4 linked regions of the Oryctolagus cuniculus genome follow. The protein of the gene in region 1 interacts with the protein of each later gene in a biochemical or structural test. Links are inferred from orthologs where the notes say so. Each region holds a gene or a part of one and is shown on either strand. Other genes may lie near its edges. The genes, in order: NPPB, NPR1, NPR2 and NPR3.

Region 1 (4,049 bases):
CTCAGGGAGGGTGTCTGATATTTTAGGCCTCAGTTTTCTCATCTGGAAAATGGGGCTAAGAATAGACCTGACTTCATGGTGCCTTACCCAGCAGCACCATCTGAGCTCAGATCCTAAGTGGTGGTGTGGGAGGAGACAGCCTGGGCTAAGGCCTGGGCGCCTGGACACAGGGCAGGGTTCTGCAGGACAGCTGGAGAGGAAGTGTTGGCGTGGGGGTGCACCCCGAGAACTTGAGCCTCCTGCCAGACCCCTGGGTTGGGTTTTGAGGGTCTTTTCCAGGATGACATCAGGAGTTGGAGGTCTGAAGTTGAAATTTGGGGAAGGATGGAGGCTCACCCCAACTTGGGAACGCAACACACACGAAACCCCCAGCGTCTGACTTGCTAGTTCAGGCTTCGGAAACAACTGTTGCCAGGGAAAGTCAGCGAGGGTGGGGCTAGGGTGGGCTTCCAGGCAGGGGCTCGCACCCTGGCCCAGGCCGGGGCCGTTCCACTCCCTGGGAGAAGCTGCCCTGCCCCAAGACACAGGCGCTGGCCATTGCGGCCACTTCAGAGCGTTTGACACCCCGACAGGAAAGAAAGCACTCCACGTCCCGCCACTGGCCCAGCCCTTAGGGCCGCATCCCAACCCCACCATCAAGACACCGCTGGGACCTTCAACAAACACAGGGTTTTGTTTGGTTTGTTGTTGCTAAAATGAGCAGCAGTTATAAACACACGGAAACAAATCAGCTTCGAAGAAAGGCTGTCGTGTTGATTTTATTTCTCTGCGGAAATTGTGTGCGCCATGGTTAATAAATCGTCTTTTAGAAAATGATCAAGTAAAAATTAATAAATACATAAATAAATAAATAGGAGCCGCTCCAAAGGGGTGGGGGTCGTGGACCGGGGGAGGCGTCCCTTGTGGAGTCCAGAGCGGTTATCTGCAGCCGGCGTTCTTTCTAGTGCTCTCTAGTGTTTCCTGAGCACTGCGGAGAGAAGAGAGAGGTGGTGAAGGGCCTGCGACGGGGAGACGGAGGTGGAAGCTGAGCTTGGTGTGTGAGGCTTTGGAATTTCTAGACCTCAGCTTCCTGGTCCATACACGGGGTCGGGGGGTGGCATCACCCTGGCGATCCCGCCCTTGCCCTCGAAGCTCTAGAAGGTGTAGGGAAAACCAGATTACACGTCTGGGACTCCAGTGAGCAGACTGCACCCCAAGGAGACTCTTCTGGCCCCTTGGATGAAAGGCGCAGGGGTGGATGCAGAGGGGCTGGGGACGCGGGCGGGGTGATGGGTGGGGTCCTCAATGAGTGTTTCCAGAAAGGCACCCTTCAGCAAGAGGGGGTGCGATCCAGGCGTCCCAGACAACAAACCAGAAGTGACTCTCAGGCTGACAGCCGGGGGCAGGGCTGGGCGTGCAGCTCCCCAGCCCAGACCCGACGCAGATGGGGGCTCACCATTGCAGCCCAGGCCGCTGAAGGAGCCAATCCGGTCCATCCTCCGCCCGAAGCAGCCTGAGTCCCGCATCCGCTTGGGGCCATGGAGTCTCCGCAGGGTCTGGCGGGCCTCATCCAGGGGCACAGGGCTGCCTGCAGGGGCCGCCTCTCTGGTCTCCTGGGTCTCCCAGGTTTTCGCCGTGCCTCCGTCTTGCTGGGTAGGCTCCAGGGTCGTCTGCTGTGCCTGCAGCTGGGAGACCTTGTTCCGGAGACGGCCCAGCAGCTGCTGTGGTGGGCAGAAACCAGAGGCTCGGGATCTCCCACCTGGGCTCACCCTCCCCATGGTGCCCAAGTGAATCCACCCACAGCACTGTGTCCAGGGACCTGGAGTAACTCTCTCCGCTTTCTGATTCTCCCATTGATTCCCGAGGGAGCGTGGAGACCCTAGGGACGGCAGCTGGGCACCCTTTCCTTGCTGCTGTCCAAGCCCTCCAGGGCGCTCACATCTATGCAGCCCCTCTGCACTCACCTGTATCTCAGAAAGTTCTGAGGAGGTTTTGCTGGGGCTGCCCAGCGGGTGGGGACGACACCTCTGCGGGGACAGGTGCAAGAAGAGGAGGAGCAGGAGAGCCCGGGAGAGCCCCGTCGGGAGGTCCATGTTGCTGGGGAGAGCGGCTGCTGCGGGGTGCGCGGGTTCCTGTCCCACCTCTGGGAGGCCAGCAAGTGCTCTCCTGGCTGCTCCGCGAACCGCGCGCGGCCTTTTATTCCGGAGCTGAGTGTCCAGCCGGTCCTTCCCTGGCCGAGGGGCGGGGGCGCCGTTATCTCTGATTTATCAGCCACATTCCGGCCCGCTGAGCTCAGGGCCGGGAATGCGCCCCTCCGCGCTGGCGGTGGAGGCTGGGGAGAGCAGGCCTTGTATAGAAATGGGCTGGGCCGGGGGCGGGCGCGCGGGGGCCCCTGCACGTACCCGGTTCCCGCTTCCTCCCTTCCTGCGAGAATCCGGGGCCCTCGCGTGGCGCTCTCTTCTTCTCTCTCCACCCCAGTCATCGCTGGAAAGGGCAGGGAGAAGCCCAGGACCGCCCCGGGCTGAGCCCCTTACCCCGGGAGCCGGCGGCCCGCGGGACTCCGGCTCGCAGCCGCTGGGTGCGGGGGCGCTGGCCGTGGTGCTGATCGCGCCAAGCGAGCGAGGCGCAAACTCTCAGAATCCGCCCTTCTCACCCGGGGTTTCCAAGCCCGGAAGACCTTCAGGGGACAGAGGACAAGAGACCTCCAAGACCTCCCTCGCGCTCTCACTATCCCCATCCCCCACCATGAGCCTCGTGATACTGGGATGCAATTCTTCAGCGTCAACTGACTAAAAACCTGGTTATGACAAGGAAGTTGTGGAATGCTGACCCTTCCTCCTTCTCGTAAAGGACAGAATTGATTTGGCCTGGCTGGAATTTCAAGAGCAAGTCCAGAGATGAAGTCACCAGGAATGCACTCTGGGCACCTCATCCAGGTGCCAACACCTTCCCCACGCCCAGACAATGCAGGATGGAAATAGAGGGTGATCAGAGGGTGCATGTACCCTTCCCAGTGCCCCCTTCACTGGATCACCCACAGACTAATTCCCATCTGCAGGTGGCCTAGGGCCCCTCTGTTATTAGAAATGAGAATCAGAGAAATGGCCTTGGGAAGGGACACAGCAGCATAAAGAACCTCCCCCCAACCCCCCAAGCCATGACCCCATCTGTGTTAACAAGCAGCAGCAGCAGCAACAGGCTGGTCTGGGGTAGGGCTGGCAGAGGCAGGAAAGGGACAAACTTCTCCTGAAAGCTGGCGGCTGCCGGGTGAAAGCCACTCCGAAGAATCAACCTGCTTTGCAGAGGTCACACGATTGACAAATAGTAAGTCCTGGTTTCCCAACCAGCTGTCAGGTTCCAGCCCCACAGTTCTTATAAACTGCCGTGGTGGTCAGAAGGTGTTTCTTCAAAAAGAAAGCTTTGTTGGACCCCTTGTCATCGATGAAGGCTCAGGGAGCTGGGCTGCTTTGTGGAGTGTGGGCCTGGATGTGCAGGGGAAGGAAGGTGTGGGCTAAGGTGAGCATTTTGTAGAAGAAGATGGGGGGGTCAATGAGGACTGCATGATGATGGCAGTTCTGGGCAGGTCGTGCGGGGGCTGTGGCTGTGTGTGTGTGAGTGTGTGCGTGTGCATGCCACAGGAAGTCTATCCCTAGGTGAAGTGGACATGAGGGAGGCAACAAAATACAGCCCAGGGTATAGAGCTGAGTCGGAGCCAGGGAGCGGGGCTGCTGAGGGCCTTGAGTCCATTATGCTGGATGTCATAGGGTGAAGGGTCATGGGGAGCCAGAACCCATCACCAACACCTATCAAGAGTGAATTCTGGCCGGTGCCACGGCTCACCAAGCTAATCCACCACCTGCGGCGCCAGTACTCCAGGTTCTAGTCCCGATTGGGGCACCAGATTCTGTCCCAGATGCTCCTCTTTTAGTCCAGCTCTCTGCTGCGGCCCGGGAAGGAGTGGAGGATGGCCCAAGTGCTTGGGCCCTGCACCCACATGGGGGACCTGGAGGAAGCACCTGGCTCCTGGCTTCAGATCGGCACAGCAAGCCGTCTGTGGTGGCAATTTGGGG
Region 2 (4,127 bases), about 110 Mb from region 1:
GGAGAGCAGCCAGGACGCAAACTCTCGCTCCTGTGTGGGATGCCAGCCGTGTTGCAAGCAGTGGCTTAACTCACTGCAGCATCACACTGGCTCAAAAATAAAACTTTTTAAAAAATATTTATTTGTTTGAAAGGCAGAGTTACAGAGAGGCAGAGACATAGACAGACAGAAAGACAGACAGTGGTCTTCCATCTGCTGGTTCACTCCCCAGATGACTGCAATGGCCGCAACTGTGCCAATCCGAAGCCAGGAGCCAGGAGCTTCTTCTGGGTCTCCCACATGGGTGCAGGGGCCCATGGGCTTGGGCCATCTTCTGCTGCTTTCCCAGGCCACAGCAGAGAGGGTCCAGCGAGGATTATGGGGGGAGCTGAAGTCCAGAGCTCAGGCCGGGCGCCGGGCTGACCTCCCCTTCTGCTCTCCATCTCCTCAGAGAGGCTCCAACTACGGATCCTTGCTAACCACAGAGGGCCAGTTCCAAATCTTTGCCAAGACAGCCTATTATAAGGTGGGCCCAGGGAAGCACCTGGTCCTCAGGCCTGGGGCAGGGGCGTGCTCTGGCGGAGGGCTGCGGGAGGGTCCTGGGTGCAGGGTGGGCAACTGGTGTTCCAGGGGCACTGGACCAGGCTCTGCACAGTGACCGTCTCCGTTCCTGGCCCAGGGCAACCTCGTGGCCGTGAAACGTGTGAACCGGAAACGCATTGAGCTGACACGCAAAGTCCTGTTTGAACTGAAGCATGTAATGTGGGGGAGTGAGGCTGTGGCCTGGGGACCGCCCCCCGGTTGGGGGGGCACAGAGGTTGAAAGTGTGGAGCTCAGGGGGATCCTGGGGCGGGGGAGAAGGGCCGTATGTGAGACCCCTGCAGGGTGGACGCTTCAGAAGGGCGTGGGCAGCGGATTCTGGGAGAGGGCTCTGCAGAAAATGAACAGAGTGAGGGTCCCTGTCAGGCCCCTGATGCTGCCCCCACCCGGCAGATGCGGGATGTGCAGAACGAACACCTGACCAGGTTTGTGGGTGCCTGCACCGATCCCCCCAACATCTGTATCCTCACAGAGTACTGTCCTCGTGGGAGCCTGCAGGTGAGAGGGATGTCGGGTGTCAAGAAACCTGGGTCCTAAGCCCTGGCTCTGGGCCTGAGGGGCAAGCCCCTCCCTCCTTCTGACCCCCACCAGCCCCAGTTGTAAAACAGGAGTAGGGGAGGGCGCTGGCACTGGCGTAATTCCAAAGCGTCCTAGCGTACCAGCTTTCACCATAGGCCCCCTGCACCCTCCTCCTGCTCCCAGGGGGCTTGCAGGGCACAGTCTGACTCCCGCTGCCCAGCAGGACATCCTCGAGAACGAGAGCATCACCCTGGACTGGATGTTCCGCTACTCGCTCACCAATGACATTGTCAAGGTAGGCCCGAGGGCCCCCCGGGGGAGGCGGGCAGGTGGCTGCTCCTCTGCCACTGTGTCGGCCCCACCCGTGCCCACACCTCTGCCCCTCCCAGGGGATGCTGTTCCTTCACAACGGGGCCATCTGCTCCCATGGGAACCTCAAGTCATCCAACTGTGTGGTAGACGGGCGCTTTGTGCTCAAGATCACCGACTACGGGCTGGAGAGCTTCAGGGACCCAGAGCCGGAGCAAGGACACACCATCTACGCCAGTGAGCCCCGACTCTCGACTCCTGCACAGCCCAGCAGGGCGGCGGGGCTTGGGCGTGCCACACCCGACTGCAGGCTTCCTTTGTTCCCTAGGGAAAGGAGGAGGCCTCTTCCAGCTCTCCATGCCATGGCTCCAGATCAGCCCCAGCCACGTGCTTCTTGTTTCTCCCCTTTGCCCCTCTGTGACTCCTGACCTCTGACCCACAGAAAAGCTGTGGACAGCGCCCGAGCTGCTGCGAATGGCGTCACCCCCCGCCCGCGGCTCCCAGGCCGGTGACATCTACAGCTTCGGGATCATCCTTCAAGAGATTGCCCTGCGGAGTGGGGTCTTCCACGTGGAGGGTCTGGACCTCAGCCCCAAAGGTGAGAGGACCATGCTTTCCACTGTTCCCTCCGTGGTCTCGACTAACCCCAGCCTCAGGGAGACGGACCCCTGGAAGCGGCCCCAGACCTTCCTTCCACTGCCTCCAGTGCCCAGTCCCCTGCCCAGCTCCTCCACCTTTGCCCTGACCCAGCTGGCTGCCCCCAGTCTGTCACTGGACCCTTGGCGGACCCCACCCCTCAGCCGCCCCCTCCCCCACGATACAGAGATCATCGAGCGTGTGACCCGGGGTGAGCAGCCCCCATTCCGGCCCTCCCTGGCCCTGCAGAGCCACATGGAGGAGCTGGGGCAGCTCATGCAGCGGTGCTGGGCCGAGGACCCCCAGGAGCGGCCACCCTTCCAGCAGATCCGCCTGACACTACGCAAGTTTAACAGGTCGCCACTGGTAGCCGCCGTGCATCCCACACTTCCACTTCCCCTCCACCCCCTGCCACCGGGCAGAAAGAGCCCACTCACAGCTCCCCCCTGCATAGCCCGCTGCAGCCCACCACAGCCTGGCAACCCTCTCACACCTACTGCATGGCCAGCTGTCCCCACAGCGCCCTGCCACTCAAACCCCACTCCTCCACCCACCTGACACACTGGCCACCAGACTTTGCAGTGGCGTGCAGAGGAAACGGGCCACATCTCCTGGGCCTCCGAAGCAGCTCCCAGCCCAGCCTCATGCACTCCCCTTCCCATGGTGCCCACTGGGGCTCAGTTCCAGACACACCCCTCCGCTGCCTGCGTGCCCCTCCCTCCATCCCTCTCCACTGCCTCTATCTCTTACTAATGCACTTAAGTCCAACAAAGACCAACTACTGATGTGTCCTGAGGCTTCACGTGTGACCCTGGGGCCTCAGACATGAACAGAACTTTCTTCCTACCCTTTCCCCTGCTCTCCGCATCCTGCTGTGTTCCAGACCCTGGCCCTCCCCAGGGACCCCTGCCGCCAACCGCTGCTGCAGCTGTGTGGGCTGACATTAAACCTGGGTGGGGGAGCTCTGGGGGGTGCAGCTCCTCTCTCACCGCCCCCGCCCCCCAGGGAGAACAGCAGCAACATCCTGGACAACCTGCTCTCGCGCATGGAACAGTACGCCAACAACCTGGAGGAGCTGGTGGAGGAGCGCACCCAGGCCTACCTGGAGGAGAAGCGCAAGGCCGAGGCGCTGCTCTACCAGATTCTGCCGCAGTGAGTCCCTGTGTCTGACACCCCCCCCCCCACGTGCGCACGTGCACGCACCCCGTCCCGGGGCCCCACCTCGCTCCCTGACCCCGCACCTGCCCTCACACCGCAGCTCCGTGGCTGAGCAGTTGAAGCGCGGGGAGACAGTCCAGGCTGAGGCCTTTGACAGCGTCACCATCTACTTCAGTGACATTGTGGGGTTCACAGCCCTGTCGGCGGAGAGCACGCCCATGCAGGTAAGACATAGCTCAGCCACAGGCGTCAAACCAGGCCGGTGGGCTTGGCTTCGCATCTCCATGCCCCTCCTCACCTGCTTTTCCCTCCAGACCTCCAGGGTGGGTGGGTGAGTGGGGGGGTCCCCTCACTCCCGACCGGCGTCTCTTCCCTTCCAGGTGGTGACCCTGCTCAATGACCTGTACACTTGCTTTGATGCTGTCATTGACAACTTCGATGTGTACAAGGTGAGGGTGTGAGTGAGGAGGGGGAGGGACAGACAGACAAGGTCAGAGAAGGTGCAAGGAAGGCAGAATAACGTGGGGTCTTAGGAGAAGAGACCCGGGACATGGGCAGACAGCGGCACAGGGAGACCCAGGAAACAGTGCAGGCTGGAGGGTGAGCACGGTGCAGGCAGATGGTGTGTGCGGTGTGGCCGTAGGCACAGGGAAGAGAGCGCTGGCTCTGCTGCCCGCACAGGTGGAGACCATCGGAGATGCCTACATGGTGGTGTCAGGGCTCCCAGTGCGGAATGGGCGGCTCCACGCCCGCGAGGTGGCCCGCATGGCGCTGGCGCTGCTGGACGCCGTGCGCTCCTTCCGCATCCGCCACCGGCCTCAGGAGCAGCTGCGCTTGCGCATCGGCATCCACACAGGTGAGGCCCCTGGCGTTAGGGGCAGGATTGCAAGGGCTGGAGCTGTGCAGATCCGGGACCTCATATCCCA
Region 3 (4,127 bases), on another chromosome or scaffold:
GAGCTCAGCTGGGCACAGAGCGGGGGTCATGGGGGCAGCGGTCCAGGGGCAGAGGTGGCAGATGGGGATGAGACAGGATGAAATGGTGGGGACCAGAACAAGCGGACGACTGTTCACCTTGAAGTGACCGGTGTTGGCAAAGATCTGGTATTTCCCATGGGCTGTCATGAGCGAGCCGTAACTGGATCCCCGCTGGGGCCAAGGGCAACATGGAGGCGGAAGGATGAAAGGAACATTAGATGGTGGTGGCAGTGCAGGGGCTATCATTACAGGCCAGTGTGCTGGGAGAGGTCCAGGGAGAGAAAGGACAGCAACTCAGAGGGAGGCAGACGACCGCTGAGACGAGGGCTCACCAGCGACAGCGTGAGGCGGCTGCCTGCGCCTTTGTGACAGCGCTCTGAGTTGCCGAACTGCAGCTCTTCCCAGCGGATGCGCCACAGCATGCTGGCCAGCTCCTTCTCCAGCATCAGCTTCCTGTAAGGACTGCACACCTCAGCTGACTGGCAAGCCCCGCCCTGCCACCCCCTCAGCCACCGCGCGGCTGCAAGGTGCTCCAGCTGGTAGTCGAGGGCCACACGCGCCGAAAGTGCACGCCCCAGGCCCACTTCCAAACACACGGTGCACCCGAGGAAAATCACCTTTGACCTCGGCCCCACTCTAAATGACCAGTTAGCATGACCAGTCTAGAACCCAAAGTGGAACAGACTCCCAGCCTGAAGACAACGATGGAGAAAGGCCAGGGAGGACCTGCTGCCAGGTCTGAGAGGAGGCCCTGGCCCCTCCCCCACATTCTCGGGCCCAGCTGTCCTCGGAGGCTGTGTGGCATCGTGGCCGGCCAGGGAGGGGCCCAGAACTCACCGGAAAATCAGAAAGCTGGAAACGCCAAACATGATGAAGGTGATGCCTGTGCCCAGAGCCACAATGGCCAGTGTCGAGAGAGGAGCTGAAGGGGAGAGGGAGACCCTGAGAAAGACCATGGGGGCGGCGGGCTGCCCAGTGGGGAGGGGTGAGGCTCAGGTGGGGAGGAGCAGACAGATTTCCCGAGGGAAGTGAGCAAGGAGGGAGGGCAGCAGAGTGGAGAGGCAGCAGGGGTGGAGGCGAGGGGAGGAAGTGTAGCTCCCAGGCCCTGCACACACCCACTTTTATCACAGGATGGGTCGTCCAAGTCAAAGGCACAGGGGGGGTTGTCCAGGGGGGGTGCCCCCTTCACCCAGGCAATAGGCCGTTCTGTCCACCAGATCTGCTTCTCGGCTCCCGAGTAGTGGGCTGCAGGCTGCGAGGAAGCAGAAAGCTGGGCCCATGGGCCTGCTGCCCGAGACACTGCGATTCTGCTTGTCCCCCAGCCAGGAGGGGGCTCCCCCAGAGAAGATAAGCCCCTGCCTCTAGGCCCTTTGGCTCTGCCCTCCCTGGACTCTAGAAGGCTGACTTCTGCAAGGCCACCATCCCTTCCCTGCCCCTCCCCCATCACCTGGAAGTCCCCAGAATCCAGGTCTCCCATGGCCCACAGGACGAAATCGGTCTCCCGGTCATTGTTCTTGTCCATAACAACCAAGCCAGTCACACCTAAGAGAGCAAAGAGCAGCCGTTACTTTGAGGTCTACCCTAGAACCCCTCCTCTCCCCTGGCCCCTCCAGCTGCCTCAGAGCCTGTCCCCACCCCTGCCCCTGAGATGTGCCCACCCATGCCACGTCCTCCAGCCCCTGCTGATGCCCCCTGCTGCTCCGACCTGTTCTTGTTCTGCCCACTCCGCTCCTGAGCCTGGCCCCAGCCCTCAGGGGCGCTGTCAGCCCCGTTCCTTACCGTGGTACCTCCGGCCTTGCATCTTCTCCACAATCCGCAGCCCGTCCTCCCGGGTGCCTCCTTCCTGGAGGGTCTCGTTCAGGACTTCAGCATAGAGCAGGATGCCGTCGTAGAAGCAGCCAGCGATGAGGTTCATCTGGGGGTGGTAACTCTCTCCAAACATCCTGCCAGGCCCCTGCCCGACCCCCAGCTCTGGGCTCCCTTGGACCTCTTCTCACCTCTGCTTTACTTCCCCCCGCCCACTTCCACCTCACTGGACCCCGGGCCACGAGGAAATGCCCTGGATGGGAGCCACAGCCACCGCTGGATGCTGAGCTGGGGCAGAGGAGTCCTGCTCACAGGCCGGCCTCTCTCGGGGAGAGGAGAGGGAGCTGCTTACCAGGGAAGGGGCCAGCTCCACTCCGAAATCTTCTCGGGCTCTTATCAGCAGACGATTCTGGAATTCCTGATACTCGGGATTTGGGGGTTCTCGGTACGTGATCACCAGCACAGTCTGTACCAGCAGAATACGGGGAGAAGTGAATGGGATTCCAGGTGGGCAAGACTGGAGGCAGGACAGGGGGATTTGGTGAAATGTACATGATCTATAATACACAGGGGTGAGTCTGAAGGCTGAAAGGATACTAAGCTCTGTGTGTGTGTGTGTGTGTGCAAATGTGCACGTGCGGTGTGTTCAGTACCTCTGGGGGGAGGGGGCAGCACTCCTCCAGGAAAGGCAGACAGCACTGCTTGTGGGAAGGGGGAGACCAGGCAGTAACCGCAAAAGCCCATCATCTTCCCCAACTCCCTGCCACACCCAAGGCCTCTTGGCGAGCTGCCCGTGGTCTCACAGCCCCTCTTTTCCTCTCCTTTTGGGGTATCCGTCCACTATCGGGGAAAACACGGGTCATCTGCTCCTCCCTGGTGTGTTCATTACTGTCAACATTAGCAATAACACGATGACGTCATTGTTTGGGCCACTCAGACAGAGCGCCTGCGCCCGGTGAAGGAAAGAGATTCCAGGCTCTGGGCGGTACTTGGACGCCGCGATTCCACCTGTGAGAGGCTGAGTTCACACAGTTCGCCTGCAGAGGACACTTCCCACAAGCATCACTGTCTTGCTTAAGAGACATGTGTCACTGGGACAAACTCCCAGAAGTCACATGCCACACACCACACACATTTCACAGATAAGCAAACGGCATGTGGGCTCAGGCAGGCACACATCTCCCTGGCGCATGAGTCAGCACGTCCGTCCCTCATCAAAGTGCCTGCCCGGCTCCCGTGAGCCCCGCGGGTGGCCCCTGCCTTAGCTGCAGTCTCCGCTGAGACCAGTCCCTGCTCAGACACCAAACTGGCATCATAGGGTCAGGGAGAGACTTCAGCTCACCACGACTGTGAAGGCGGTAACTTAAAATCCAGGCACTTTGGCCAGTTTTATGCACTCCTGCCATGGAAAGCACACGCGGGCTGTGAGACCGCACCTGCATCCCCTGCGCGCACCATGAGCTGTCTGGGGAGGACTGACAGGCAGCGGAAGCCAACTTCCACCTCGCACTCATCGTATCAGACTGCGGTTTTCTCTGCAGCATGTGAGCGCTTGATCACACCCTTCTAACATCCTTCCACGCTCAGGCAAAACATAAAGGGGAGGAGGACGAAGGGTGAGGTGGGCAGGGTTCAGTAGGCGACACCTGCTGCAGAAATACAAGACATTCAGAGAGGCAGCGCACCGACGATGAAAAGCACAAGAGCTGGAGAAGAGATTTAATACAACTTGTATTTCACTTAAGGCTGAGGGTGGGTTTTTTATTCTCTAGGCTGCTTTGTTCCCTAGGCTGGCAGTTATCAAACATGTTGATCTCAAGATGGCCTGACAGCCTTACATGTTACTAAGGACCCTAAGAAACTTGTGTTTATGTGGAGTAAATCTACAGGTATTGGCCATATTATAAATTAAAGCTGATACACTTTGAGAACACAAGAGCACACAGGGGTCGGCATTGTGGCACAGCAGGTTAAGCTACTGTCTGTAACACAGGTATCCCGTATGAGCACCAGTCCAAGTCCCAGCTGCTCCACTTCCAACCCAGCTTCCTGGAAAGGCACCTGGGAAAGCAGTGGAAGACAGTCCAGGGGCTTGGGCCCCTGCACCCATGTTGGAGACCTGGATGAAGGTCCTGGCTCCTGGCTCCTGGTTTCAGCCTGGCCCAGCCCTTCCCGTTGCAGCCATTGGGGAGTGACCCAGTGGATGGAAGATATCTCTCTTTCCCCTCGGCCTCTATAACTCTGCCTTTCAAATAAATAAGTAAATCTTAAAAAAGAAAAAGAAAGAGAAAAAGATCAAA
Region 4 (4,127 bases), on another chromosome or scaffold:
AGGGCTGGAGCCAGCATCCACAGGGGACACTGGGGTCTCAGGTGGTAGCTCTGCCTGCTACACCACAACTCCAGCGCTCCCCTTAGACCCCTCTTCAATCTGCTACTTTTCCCATCTTGTCCTCTCTCTTGTGATTGTTTTTCTAATACTTTCTCAAAGGCTTCTTAAGCTTTGCACTTGGATAAGAAAGATAAAAGTGCAGGATCTCCTAGAATATCTTTCTAAAAAAAAAAAAAAAAAAAAGAAAGAAAAAAGAACATTTGCAGCAACTAGGAAACTGAGAAACACCTTCCTTGAAGGAACCTTGAGGCATTTCTAACTCCTTCTCAAAGTGAACCCTGATTATCTATGCTTCTTTTCAAGCAGGTGGTCTAGAAGAATCAGCGGTGACAGGCATTGTTGTAGGGGCCCTACTGGGAGCTGGGTTGCTAATGGCCTTCTACTTTTTCAGGTGAGAATTGTTTATACAATTCACTCTCCTTTGACTGCCTTTGTCACTTGTCTTGGCATGATCCCCCTTGTGACTTGTCCACATCTTTCTTACACCCAAGAAGCCTGGTGGTTAGAAGACCTAAGCAGTCCTTTTGGTGTGACCCTGGATTTGGTGGTCAGTGGGTTAGCATTGTTGGTTATTAGAGTTACGATATTCCAGTGCCTTACCCTAAAGGCCAGAGAGCCATTGCTGTCCTTAGTTCACAGATATTTCGACAGCAATTCCTACCACTCACCAAATGCACACATGGAGAAGGAATCTGGACAAAGGGGAAAATCAACTTTCTTGTTCTCAGACTGTTTCCAATTCAGAAATAGAGGCTTGACTTAACCTTCCTAAAGGGAAGGAGGGAGCTGGGAGTAGTCTGTGCTCCCAGGCTGATCTGGGCTTCGTATTTGGAGCCCTGTGAGCTTAGCTCACTGTGGGGTAGCCTCAGGACTTGCACAATTCTAAAAGGTGCGTGTGTTCAAGGCAGCCATTGTTCCACGCTCCAAGGGCAGCCCCTTCCTTTGTAACCTTTGGTGGTTGAGTTTGTGACTTATAGATCATTAGACTCTGGGTGGATGGGACCCCTTGTGGGAACAGCTGTACTCCTTCGGTCCCACTGTACTTAATCTGATCTTTATCTAGGGCATTTCCTGGGAGTCAGGGAGTGTGTCTGTGGCAGAAGTGACAAGACTTAACCCCACAAGGCACTCAGGGAAGAAGGGGAGGTCTTGTTCTCTGGCATTTTGGAAAGCATGCCGACTTTCCCCCTTGAAAGAGGGCATAGTGCCTTGGGCACACTACTTTAATCTCTGACCAGGGTTTCATATTCTGTCACTTCTCATTTGTCAAACCAAACCCAGATGTCCCCTGAGGGCATTCTTTGTAAGAGAAACCCCAGTATTTTGTAACCAAGAGATGTTTTATTACTGCATTCACTTTCCCTTTACCCAGGAAGAAATACAGAATAACCATTGAGAGGCGAAACCAGCAAGAAGAAAGTAACGTTGGAAAACATCGGGAGTTACGAGAAGATTCCATCAGATCCCATTTTTCGGTGGCTTAAAAGAAGCTTAATTTTTTTTTCCCCTTTCTGCCTGAGGTTACTTAAGGAGATAGCTGGGATGAAAGACATCAGTGGAACAGAAGGGGTGTTCTTGAAGCATTCATTCTTTTAAGCAGTCATTTCATTTTAAACATTCTTTAGAAGCTCAGGAACTATTATTAATCATGATCTGGCTCCCGGCCTTTCATCTCATGACAAACAAATATAAGAATATAATGTCACTTTGCTAAGTGTTCATACTGCTTCAAGGGCATATAATTAGATTTATGTTTTAAAATCTGATGTCTCCATATCTTGATGGCTCTTGGGGACATTTCACACAAGGACATAAAATGTGGTTTTCCTACATGAAATGTTTTGTAGCTAGAATAAAATCATTTTTACAAGTAGAATATTCTTGGGAAGAGTTTGACACCCAATAAGAAGGAAATGTAATGAGAAAATCCCAGGGTTGGGAATACACCATCACTCTCTCTAGAGCTGGCAGAGAGATGGTTGAGGATTGCTGTGTCCAATGTCTGCAATCAGGTTCTGACTTTGAATCTGGAAAAGCATTTTTTCCTTGTCTCCTTCAGTGTCTCATAAGAGCTACTCTGAAAAGTTGTAAATATTAGTGAGGTAGGAAGATTTATACAAGAAAAGCAAATCTGAATTTTGTGTGTAAAAAAAAGCCCTATTTCACACTAACATTTTTATTTTTAACTATCTTAATCTTATATTTTGATGTTAGAAATTATGTCTATTTTTTCAGTTTGAAGATTAAATTTCACTTATATTTTAAAAGCATGGGTCAAGTGTATAACAAGCCAGTAATGATCAAAGAAAGATGCTTTTCTTTTTCTCTGTTTCCTCCTTCTCCTGGTCATAGCCAAATGCCAATTGCTGCTTTAATTACAGAGATCTAAAGATGTATGTAGATTGCAAACTCTATAGGAGTACATTCATTTTTAAACCATTTGCATTTTGAACCATTTAAAATGCAATCTATTGCTGGGCTGCATCCCTTCCAGTTCTGACCAAATGGTGTTTCAAGATCCAGAGTGAAAAGAGATTATAATTAGGCAAAATTTTAAAGGGAGGTAGCCCTTCTCCCTCAAGAATAACTTAAGAAAGACTTAGAACTTGACAGAAGGATGGAATTGATAAAAAAAAAATGCATGGCATTTACCAGAATTCACAATGATGAGTTTGGATTTTTTTCCCTTTAATAACACTCTTTTACTTTAAAAGTTTATGGGGGTAATCTAAGTACCTTCTATATGAGTATTCATTCTCAGTCTACTCTGCAGTTTTACAGGCATCCACCAATAACCTGTGTGACAGTGGGTTGGGTGTGGGTGTAAGGCATTGGGATGATTTGTAGGGATTTCCTGGATATCTGCTTTGCACCCAGTACTCTGCACATAGGTTTATTCTCAGGTTGTCACATTCACCTACAGCTGTGGAGAAAACAGACAGCAAGGAAAGAAAGGGAAGTGTCAGGTAAGAGTGCTGTCCTGTAATGTCATTAGGTTATTTCCTAGCAACATTTTGAGCATATGAAAAGTATTTTTGCAAATGATCTTAGTGTCTATAAAAGACAGGGACAGAGGGGAGTTTAAGCACTTCCTTGGTGGTGATGGAGGTTGTAACTCACACTGGTAACAGAAGAGGAAAAAGTGAGTGACAGCTCCATATTTTAAATCTTGGCTAGCGATTGCTTCCCCAGAGGGGTCTGCCTCTGTCCACAGCCATCACAGTGAACTGATGATATCTGCCTGAGGCACCTTTCCTCTCCATTGTTTGAAAAATGGGATGCAGGATGCAGGCATGACAGAATGGGAAGGCAGGGTAGAAGAATTAACTGCGAGGAACTGAAACAATGTTGTAGTCCGTCCTGCTAGACAGAAAGAGAAGAGTGCTGGATTCAAATAAGGATGGAAAAAGAAGGCAAGAAAGACAGGCGCAAAAAATTCTAATGGAGGAAGAGGGTTTGAAAATAAGACCCAGGACAGCAAAACATTTGACAGCTTGGGACTCCCCCAGGTGAGAAGAGAATGGAAAGAGTGCTCTATTCTCAGTCACAGGAATTGGAGAGCTTATTTCTCTCATTCAAATTTTTCATGATGTTTTCTTATCCTCTAGAGATAATAATTTTCTATTATTTTGTGTTGGTAAAAAACACATTTTGAGCCTGTATTTGTATTTTCGGGGGGTGGGAATACTGTCTACCTGGCTTCAGTCTTTGGGTTCTGAACGTGTCCAGTCTTTCTAGAATTTACATAATAGTCCATCAGCAGTTTTAGAGAAAATATCTTTTATTTCTACTGCAGGTAGAAGAATAATTATATGTATATATTTTTAAAGATTTATTTATTTTTCACTTGAGAGTCAGAGTTACACAGAGAGAGAAGGAGAGGCAGAGAGAGAAAGAGAGAGAGAGAGAGAGGTCTTCCATCTGCTGGTTCATTCCCCAATTGGTGGCAATTGCCAATTTGAAGCCAGGAGCCAGGAGCTTCCTCCGGGTCTCCCATATGGGTGCAGGGGCCCAAGGACTTGGGCCATCTTCTACTGCTTTCCCAGGCCATAGTAGAGAGCTGGATT

Evidence for each region.
Region 2: the proteins of NPPB (region 1) and NPR1 form a complex in vitro, tested with the Homo sapiens proteins (2 studies listed by BioGRID). The link is inferred for Oryctolagus cuniculus from reciprocal best matches to the Homo sapiens genes NPPB and NPR1.
Region 3: the proteins of NPPB (region 1) and NPR2 form a complex in vitro, tested with the Homo sapiens proteins (3 studies listed by BioGRID). The link is inferred for Oryctolagus cuniculus from reciprocal best matches to the Homo sapiens genes NPPB and NPR2.
Region 4: the proteins of NPPB (region 1) and NPR3 form a complex in vitro, tested with the Homo sapiens proteins (4 studies listed by BioGRID, with this or other methods). The link is inferred for Oryctolagus cuniculus from reciprocal best matches to the Homo sapiens genes NPPB and NPR3.

What each region holds. Positions count from the first base shown.
Region 1 is NC_091438.1:156,600,268-156,604,316, reverse strand, and holds NPPB (natriuretic peptides B), read right to left. Parts: upstream 2,161-4,049; 5' UTR 2,073-2,160; coding exon 1,944-2,072; intron 1,701-1,943; coding exon 1,436-1,700; intron 968-1,435; coding exon 951-967; 3' UTR 733-950; downstream 1-732.
Region 2 is NC_091438.1:44,634,452-44,638,578, reverse strand, and holds part of NPR1 (atrial natriuretic peptide receptor 1), read left to right. Parts: intron 1-430; coding exon 431-505; intron 506-658; coding exon 659-736; intron 737-972; coding exon 973-1,077; intron 1,078-1,321; coding exon 1,322-1,393; intron 1,394-1,487; coding exon 1,488-1,644; intron 1,645-1,849; coding exon 1,850-2,005; intron 2,006-2,230; coding exon 2,231-2,399; intron 2,400-3,048; coding exon 3,049-3,195; intron 3,196-3,301; coding exon 3,302-3,425; intron 3,426-3,581; coding exon 3,582-3,650; intron 3,651-3,882; coding exon 3,883-4,057; intron 4,058-4,127. UniProt on the Homo sapiens protein: Receptor for the atrial natriuretic peptide NPPA/ANP and the brain natriuretic peptide NPPB/BNP which are potent vasoactive hormones playing a key role in cardiovascular homeostasis.
Region 3 is NC_091432.1:198,702,217-198,706,343, reverse strand, and holds part of NPR2 (atrial natriuretic peptide receptor 2), read right to left. Parts: intron 2,294-4,127; coding exon 2,180-2,293; intron 1,937-2,179; coding exon 1,801-1,936; intron 1,564-1,800; coding exon 1,469-1,563; intron 1,274-1,468; coding exon 1,141-1,273; intron 944-1,140; coding exon 859-943; intron 475-858; coding exon 354-474; intron 193-353; coding exon 118-192; intron 1-117. UniProt on the Homo sapiens protein: Receptor for the C-type natriuretic peptide NPPC/CNP hormone. Has guanylate cyclase activity upon binding of its ligand. May play a role in the regulation of skeletal growth.
Region 4 is NC_091445.1:58,878,547-58,882,673, forward strand, and holds part of NPR3 (atrial natriuretic peptide receptor 3), read left to right. Parts: intron 1-363; coding exon 364-451; intron 452-1,432; coding exon 1,433-1,544; 3' UTR 1,545-4,127. UniProt on the Homo sapiens protein: Receptor for the natriuretic peptide hormones, binding with similar affinities atrial natriuretic peptide NPPA/ANP, brain natriuretic peptide NPPB/BNP, and C-type natriuretic peptide NPPC/CNP.